Linked DNA regions of Mus musculus. The protein of the gene in region 2 interacts with the protein of the main gene of each other region in a biochemical or structural test. Links are inferred from orthologs where the notes say so. Each region holds a gene or a part of one and is shown on either strand. Other genes may lie near its edges.

What was found. The genes of interacting proteins can lie anywhere in the genome.
Region 1: the proteins of Pdgfrb (region 2) and Nck2 form a complex in vitro, tested with the Homo sapiens proteins (2 studies listed by BioGRID). The link is inferred for Mus musculus from reciprocal best matches to the Homo sapiens genes PDGFRB and NCK2.

Annotation. Positions count from the first base shown.
Region 1 is NC_000067.6:43,444,561-43,448,558, reverse strand, and holds the start of Nck2 (cytoplasmic protein NCK2), read right to left. Parts: upstream 2,809-3,998; 5' UTR 2,532-2,808; intron 1-2,531. UniProt on the Homo sapiens protein: Adapter protein which associates with tyrosine-phosphorylated growth factor receptors or their cellular substrates. Maintains low levels of EIF2S1 phosphorylation by promoting its dephosphorylation by PP1.
Region 2 is NC_000084.6:61,072,640-61,076,149, forward strand, and holds part of Pdgfrb (platelet-derived growth factor receptor beta isoform 2 precursor), read left to right. Parts: coding exon 1-123; intron 124-601; coding exon 602-706; intron 707-988; coding exon 989-1,099; intron 1,100-3,510. UniProt on the Homo sapiens protein: Tyrosine-protein kinase that acts as a cell-surface receptor for homodimeric PDGFB and PDGFD and for heterodimers formed by PDGFA and PDGFB, and plays an essential role in the regulation of embryonic development, cell proliferation, survival, differentiation, chemotaxis and migration.

The DNA.
Region 1 (3,998 bases), on a different chromosome or scaffold from region 2:
ACAAACAAACAAACAAACAAACAAAAAAAAAACAAAAAACACCATGGCTGCATACCTCTGATAGCTTGTTTTAAAAGGCTGCCTAACTTACACAGAACAGCACACAAATGGCATCATTGTTTTTTCACATATGTCCTTTGAAAACACCTTGAGAAATGTTTCTATCACTCATTTTTTTAGGAAAGAGAAACAATTCCAAAGCAACATTTGAAGTCCCTCTGGATGGGAAAATGAATTTCCTAAGTCTCTATGGGAAGCTTCCCGGTCCTTTTGTAAGAAATGTTAGCTTACAAGTTTCCCCAACCACTGTTCCCTACACTGCTCTGCACTTGCAACAAGCAGTCTTGAATTCTTCAGTCATTAAGGCTCATTATGAACATCAGAAAATCATTTCCACGAGCCTCATCAGCCCCAGTGCACACTGCAAGCCAGTCAGTTAGAAGCATGTGTGCCCTACAAAGCAACCAAGCCCAGTCTTGCCAGGGCAAATTAAGCTAATGCAAATGATCAAATAAAGGACTACAGGTCACTATGCAATCAGTGACTATCGGGCTGTTTTCAAGGGGTCATTCGGTCTGCTCCAACAAGGAAAGCTCTGGAGAGATTTAGCAAGGATGAGAGCACATTTCTCAAACACCTGGGTGCTGCTGTTTGTCAGCAATGTTCAGTACCCCAATGTTCAAGACAGAGGTCAGGAATAAGCCCGGATCAAAGAGAAAGGGAGGAAGAAGACTGAAGCAAGGACCCATGGGGAAAGCAAAACTGAAAGCCTGGAAATGGACTGAAGAGCCTACAAGGAGTTGGAAACCACCTTTTATAAGTTCGACCCATTTTAAAGGGGGTCAGTCGTCTCTCCATCGGTGGGCAAATCGCCTATCAAGTGTCCAGAGCTCACATAGCAACTTCCAACCCTGAAACTGGGGCTCTGTTCAAGCACGTGTAAGAAACTGAGAGCAAGACAGGCAGTAAGCTGTAAGTCAAAGCTTTACAGCTGCACAAAGTTCTCATTTCAGCTTCAGGTCACTGGGACCTTTACGTTCTTCAATCAAAACTACGCTAACCTACCAGGAGGTGAGAAAGTTTAAGGGAGGATTGTCACTTGTGGTCACTTAGGAAAGACCCGAAGGTGTAAAACCTTATCTGTCTAAAGTGCACTTTCTCCATTGTGTTCACTGGCTGCCTTCGCTACATAAACCAGGCACATGCACGAGAAAGTCCGGTTTCTACCTCTGTATCTATAAACACTTGGAAAGTGAATGGAGGGAGTGCCCACAGCACAGTTGAGATGTTCTGATAAAGTAGTGACCTTTAGACTAGAAAAACCACAGTTGCTAACTATACCAAAAAAAAAAAAAAAAAAAAAAACCCAGGCTGGAAACACACCCAAAATTATTCTCATTCCTCCTCAAAATCTCTGCAGAAAAGCCTGTATTGGGAGAGGAGCAGAGAAGTCTCCAGGGGAGGATACCAGCAAGCCACGCCCACTGGCCAACGGGCTGTTTCTTTTTGGGTCAACCAAGGAGCAGGCCTGTGCACCTCCAGCCCAAACTCGGACCTGTTCATCCCACACACAGACGCAAACTTGGCAAGACTGGCCTTAAACCTGTTAGCAAAATAAGGAGAGCCAAATAAGGAGGAAGCGGCCAACCTGAATGGGTTAGGGTGGCAGGGCCCACTCCACTTGGCACCCAGCTGTGTCCCCAAGCTGTTCACAATACTACTGTAAGTCACCTCTGCTATCCATTAACCACCACCCGCGCACACCTTCCGGGAGGATCGCTGTTGTGTATAAATAACAGCGTTTTGCAAATCAAACCTCTCCACACAATGCCAAGCTAACAGCGCTCAAAAGGGAGGTGCCACCGGGGCATTAAAAGTCACACATCAAATTCTTGCAGAACCACTTGCTTAAATCGCCCTGAATAAATAAACTGAGGGGGCAGAGCAACCGGGAAAAACTTTGGTTGAGGAGGTTTAAGTCTTGGAAATGCGGGACCGGGCGCAGGGACTGGAAGGAACCAGGCACAAAAGCGCCCTGCGCCGAGGCAAGGACCTCCTTTATGGAACGTGACAGCAGCTTTGTGCCGGATCACGAATAGTTCTAAATACTGGAAGTTCTCCCCGGCCATCGCAGCCTCCCGCTTCCTAGCGCTGTGGCCCTCAGATCCCAGGCTATTCTTCCCAGGCACGCGCGCCCGGCGACCTGGCCACTGTTCGGTCCCACGCCCGCCCACAGGCCAGGGCTGCTAGTGTTCCCGAGGGCTTTGGGTCCTTGGTCCCCGGAGTCCGCCCGCGGAGGGCGCCCCACCCCCACGCCAGCCCCAGGCAGAGGGAGGCGAGGGCTCGCAGGAAGGTGTGTGTATCCGAGGTGCGGGTGCCCGGGGACGCCAGGCCGCGGCGGGGCTGAGGGCACCGGCCGGGTACGCAGGGGTACGCGCTCCCTGGCCCTCCCCGGGCGGCCGCGGCCCGCTCGCCCCTCTCTTCCAACTCCACGGACCGGCCCAAGTTTGCAGCCCCCGCCATCGCCTTACCTCGCCGCACAGTGCACGCCGAGGCCGGAGGGCAGCAGCGCGAGTCCCGGGGCGGCGGCCGCGCTGCGCCCGCCCAGATGCCGCTCTTTGTCTGCACCGCTCCCTCCTCCCGCCACCAAGCGGACGCAATTGGACCCGGCGGACCCCGCCGGCCCGGGAGCCCCGAGCCTGCCTGCCGCCGAGCCCTCCTCACCACCACCGTCGCCGCCGCCGCCCGCTCGGCCGCGCGCACCGGCCTGCGATCCGCGGCGGCGACCCTCCCGCGCAGCGCCCGCCTCCGCGCGCTCCCCGCCCGCGCTCCTCCCTGGCTGCCGTGACGCCGCCCAGGGGCCGGCCCAGCCCGGCGCACGCGGGGCGGGGGACCCACCTGGGAGTCCCAGCCAGGCCTCGGGAAAGCGCCGCCTGGGGGCTTCAAGCCGTAACCCGCTCTAGATTGGAGCTGGGGGCACCCGGGAGGGGCTGCTAGGGATAAGGAGGTGCCACTTGCAGCCCACGAGACCGGGTGGTCTCCGCACCCGGCTGTGCGTCGGGAGCCTTACAGCGACCTCCCTACCCCGCCCCCCAAGCATTCCCACGGCACTCTCAGCCAAACAGGCCTGGTGTCTGTCAGAAAAGTGACTTACATAAAAATGTCACTTCCTCCCAGTAATTGCTTGTGGGCATTTTCTTTATTTATTTGCCTTGCATTTATTTACTTTCCCATCCAGACACTTTTTTACTCCATCCCCCCCACCCCCAACCTCCAGGCGGGACCACTTCCTAGTGGGGGAGGAGAGGAAACCCGACCTCAGCTGCCTCCGCAGCGTCCTGGCCAGTTTATTAGAGCCCAGGAATTCTTTAGTACAGGAGGCTGAGAAAGCTTTAGAAGGAAACCTTGCTCTCCCAGACTTGAGTAGTAGCTAACCTATAAGCAAACTTGGAAAGCTAGAACCCTGGATCGAAGAGAAGGACTGGATCCAGAGGTTTCTTCTCCAAGCTCCTTCGCTCCTTATACCCCAAAGGAACCCCTGATATTCAAATAAATTCCGCTTTCAGGTCGGACGACTCACATTTATGTTAATGAGATTCAACCCTAGCCCTTGTTTCCTCCTTATTAAGGCAGAAACAATTCACCCTACGTAACAAAAAAAGAAAAAGAAAGAAAGAAAAGTTGCCTGCCTTCTTATAGGAAGTTCCCAGGCATAAGTAACGTGAGGAAGCTTGGCTATAGTCCTCGCAGCCATTGACCGTAGGCTCCTGAACTGTGTCACCTTACACAGGTGTTTCACAACTTCCTCGGCTTTATCACATGAGATGTTTACCTGCCTTCTATGTTAAGTACCTGGCACGTAGCCTGACACGAGGGCACTAGGAGGCATCCTGTACAAAATCAGCACACCCAACAGTCTCTTCCAGTCGGAGATGCTAGCTTCATCCGTTCTTTGTTACAGACCTCATCTTTGTTACTATCTAGCTTTACAACAATGA
Region 2 (3,510 bases):
ATGAGATCCGATGGAAGGTCATTGAGTCTGTGAGCTCTGACGGTCATGAGTACATCTACGTGGACCCTGTGCAGTTGCCTTACGACTCCACCTGGGAGCTGCCACGGGACCAGCTTGTTCTGGGTCAGTCCTAAGAGGTGTTAAGCAGCAGTGGGCACACTCAGATTTGCTCCCATCATGGTTGCTACTAGCTAAGGCATAGAGCTGATATCTTGCATCCTCTGGATCTCACTATCCTTTCTATATGGTGAAGATAAGGTGACCCCATAGCACCAAAACTCAGGGATCCCAAGACTGATATGGGACCCCTTCAGGTCAAAGAGGAAGTCCTTTGGATGTAGGCCAGGGAGTCTGAGGCAGGTGCAAAGGAGTTGTGCGTGTCCCTAAGAGACAGGAGGTCTTTCAGGGACTACAGGGGAGGCAGATAGCATGCAGGATCTAGAGGAGACCCAGAGGATGGGAAACTTCCCAAGGGGAGCACAGTAGGGCGGTTGGAGGGATGTGGAGGGTGATCTAAGGGAATATTCCCCAACCTAAATGGGAAATGGGATGAAGCTTGAAGCTTTAGCTTCCAGGAGCTGAGGGTCTCTATGCATCCTAGGACGCACTCTTGGCTCTGGGGCTTTCGGACAGGTGGTGGAGGCCACAGCTCACGGTCTGAGCCATTCGCAGGCCACCATGAAAGTGGCTGTCAAGATGCTGAAATGTGAGTCCACCCGCCCCTTCTTCACACCCGAGGCCTCACTCGGTCCCTCCCTTCCCTGGGCTTTTTGTTTCTTCTGAAGGAGCCTGGCCCTGAGGTTGTGGGACCGAAGGGTGCTTCTTCCTCCTTCTCTCCCCGCCTCCCACCTTCTTCCCTCTCTAATACAGTCCACCCTAGGACACTGGTGGTGTGACAGGATGGGGCAGAGGAAGCAGAGTAGGCCCTGGCAGGGCCTCTATACCACCTCAGTGGCCCACCCAGGCTGAGTCCCTCTCCCCCCTCCAGCGACAGCCAGAAGTAGCGAGAAGCAAGCCTTAATGTCCGAGCTGAAGATTATGAGTCATCTTGGACCCCACCTGAACGTGGTCAACCTGCTGGGGGCCTGCACCAAAGGAGGTACCGAACCCACAACCTGGAGGATTCTGGGGCTCCTCTCTTTCCTGTTCTCCCTCAGTCCACCAGCAACACAGGACACTCCAGCAGAATGTCCACACACCTGCCGCTCAGCGTTCTTATTGCACTGTCCTAGATGGACTTAGTTTCAGGATCTCAGAATCACAACTCCTTCATGATGAAGAGATTCTTCAGGCCGCTAGTTCCTGCAGCTTTAGAATTCAAGTCTTTTATGACTCTTCCTTCCTTCCTTCCTTCCTTCCTTCCTTCCTTCCTTCCTTCCTTCCTTCCTTCCTTCCTCCCTCCCTTCCTTCCTTCCTTCTTTTTTCTCTCTTTCTTTCTCTCTTTCTCTCTCTCTTTCTCTCTTTCTCATTCTTCCTTCTCTCCTTTTTTCCTTCCTTCCTGTCTCCTTCCTGTCTCCTTTCTTTCTTTCTTTCTTTCTTTCTTTCTTTCTTTCTTTCTTTCTTTCTTTCTTATTCTCTCTCTTCCTTCCTCTCTCTCTCTTCCTTCCTTTCTTTCTTCCTTCCTTCCTTCCTTTCTTTCTTTCTTTCTTTCTTTCTTTCTTTCTTTCTTTCTTTCTTTCTTTCTTATTCTCTCTCTTCCTTCCTCTCTTCCTTCCTTCCTTCCTTGCCTGCCTGCCTGTCTGCCTGCCTGCCTGCCTTCATGATGAAGTCTTGCCTGTATGTCAGTGTTCCTGTGTGTGTGTGTGTGTGTGTGTGTGTGTGTGTGTGTGTGTGCGTGCATATGTATGTGTGTCTGGTACTTGAGAAGGCCAGAAGAGGTCATCAGATCCTCTGAAACTGGAGTGACAGATGGTTGTGAGCCAGTGGGTAGGTGCTCGGTATTGAACCAAGGTTGTCTGCATGAACAAGTGCTCCTAACAGCTGACCATCCCTCCCACCTCCTTTTTCATATTTCCACAATACATTTTGAAAACCGTGAGAAAGTAACAGAGCCCATCCATGTACTAACCAGGAACTGGCTTTGTTTACATCAGTGTTGGAAGTCATTCTGCCAACTGCGATGATCTGAGGGCCTGGTTACCCACTGGGCTGTCAACATCGTAATAATCATGAAGTTATTGCCCTTTGCAGCTGCTTGTTGTGAGATCTGGGATTTTCCTCGGTGTTGTGTAATCAGCCTAAATACAGAAGTACATTGCGCATGGACTGTTGTCTGTGCTTGCAATGACCGTATTTCTTTTTTTTTTCTTTTTTTAAAAAAAGAATTCTTGTATCTTTATTCATGAGGGTTCTACTTCTCTTATAGGCCTTTTATATTTCTATCAAGGCAAAACATACTTCATTATAAATAAAGGAGGCAGCTCCCTCCACTTTCTCAAGTAATTGTTTAAAACTAATATTGGAGGAGCTAGAGAAAGCTCCCAAGGAGCCAAAGGGGTCTGCAACCCTGTAGGTGGAACAACAACATGAACCAACCAGTACCCCCGGAGCTCGTGTCTCTAGCTACATATGTATCAGAAGATGGCCCAGTCGGCCATCATTGGGAAGAGAGGCCCCTTGGTCCTGCAAACCCTATATGCCTCAGTACAGGGGAACACCAGGGCCAAGAAGTGGGAGTGGGTGGGCAGGGGAGTGGGGGCGGGGGAGGAGAGTCTGGGGGACTCCTGGGATAGCATTTGAATGCAAATGAAGAAAACACCCAATCAAAAGTATAAATTAATCAAAAACAACCCCTAATATTATATTCATACTTAAATGTTTGACAGAATTCACCAGTAAAGATATTAGACTTAGAATTTTCTTGGGATTTTATTTGGGGAACAGTAGAGAGACCGAATCTATGTACGAATTGTCCTGGAACTTGCTATATTCACCAAAATGGCCACAAACTCACTGAGACATGTCTGCTGAAAGCTGGAATTAGTATTGTGCAAGCCCCAGCTTGGAAGATTTTTTTTTAATTTTTTAAAATTAGGTTATTTTCTTCATCTACACCTCCAACGCTATCCCAAAAGTCCCCCACACCCTCCCCCACACTCCCCCACCCACCCACTCCCACCCCCTGGCCCCGGCGTTCCCCTGTACTGAGGCACATAAAGTTCACAAGACCAATGGGCCTCTCTTTCCAATGATGGCCGACTAAGCCATCCTCTGATACATATGCAGCTAGAGACACGAGCTCTGGGGGGTACTGGCTAGTTCACATTGTTGTTCCACCTATAGGGTTGCAGACCCCTTCAGCTCACTGGGTACTCTCTCTAGCTCCTCCATTAGGGGCCCTGTGTTCCATCCAATAGCTGACTGTGAGCATCCACTTCTGTGTTTGCTGGGCCCTGGCATAGCCTCACAAGAGGCAGCTATATCAGGGGCAATGACCGTATTTCAAAAGTGTTATTTTCATCTGTTAGATGGCTCTCAGTGCATTGAACTTAAGTGTAATCAGCAAATTGC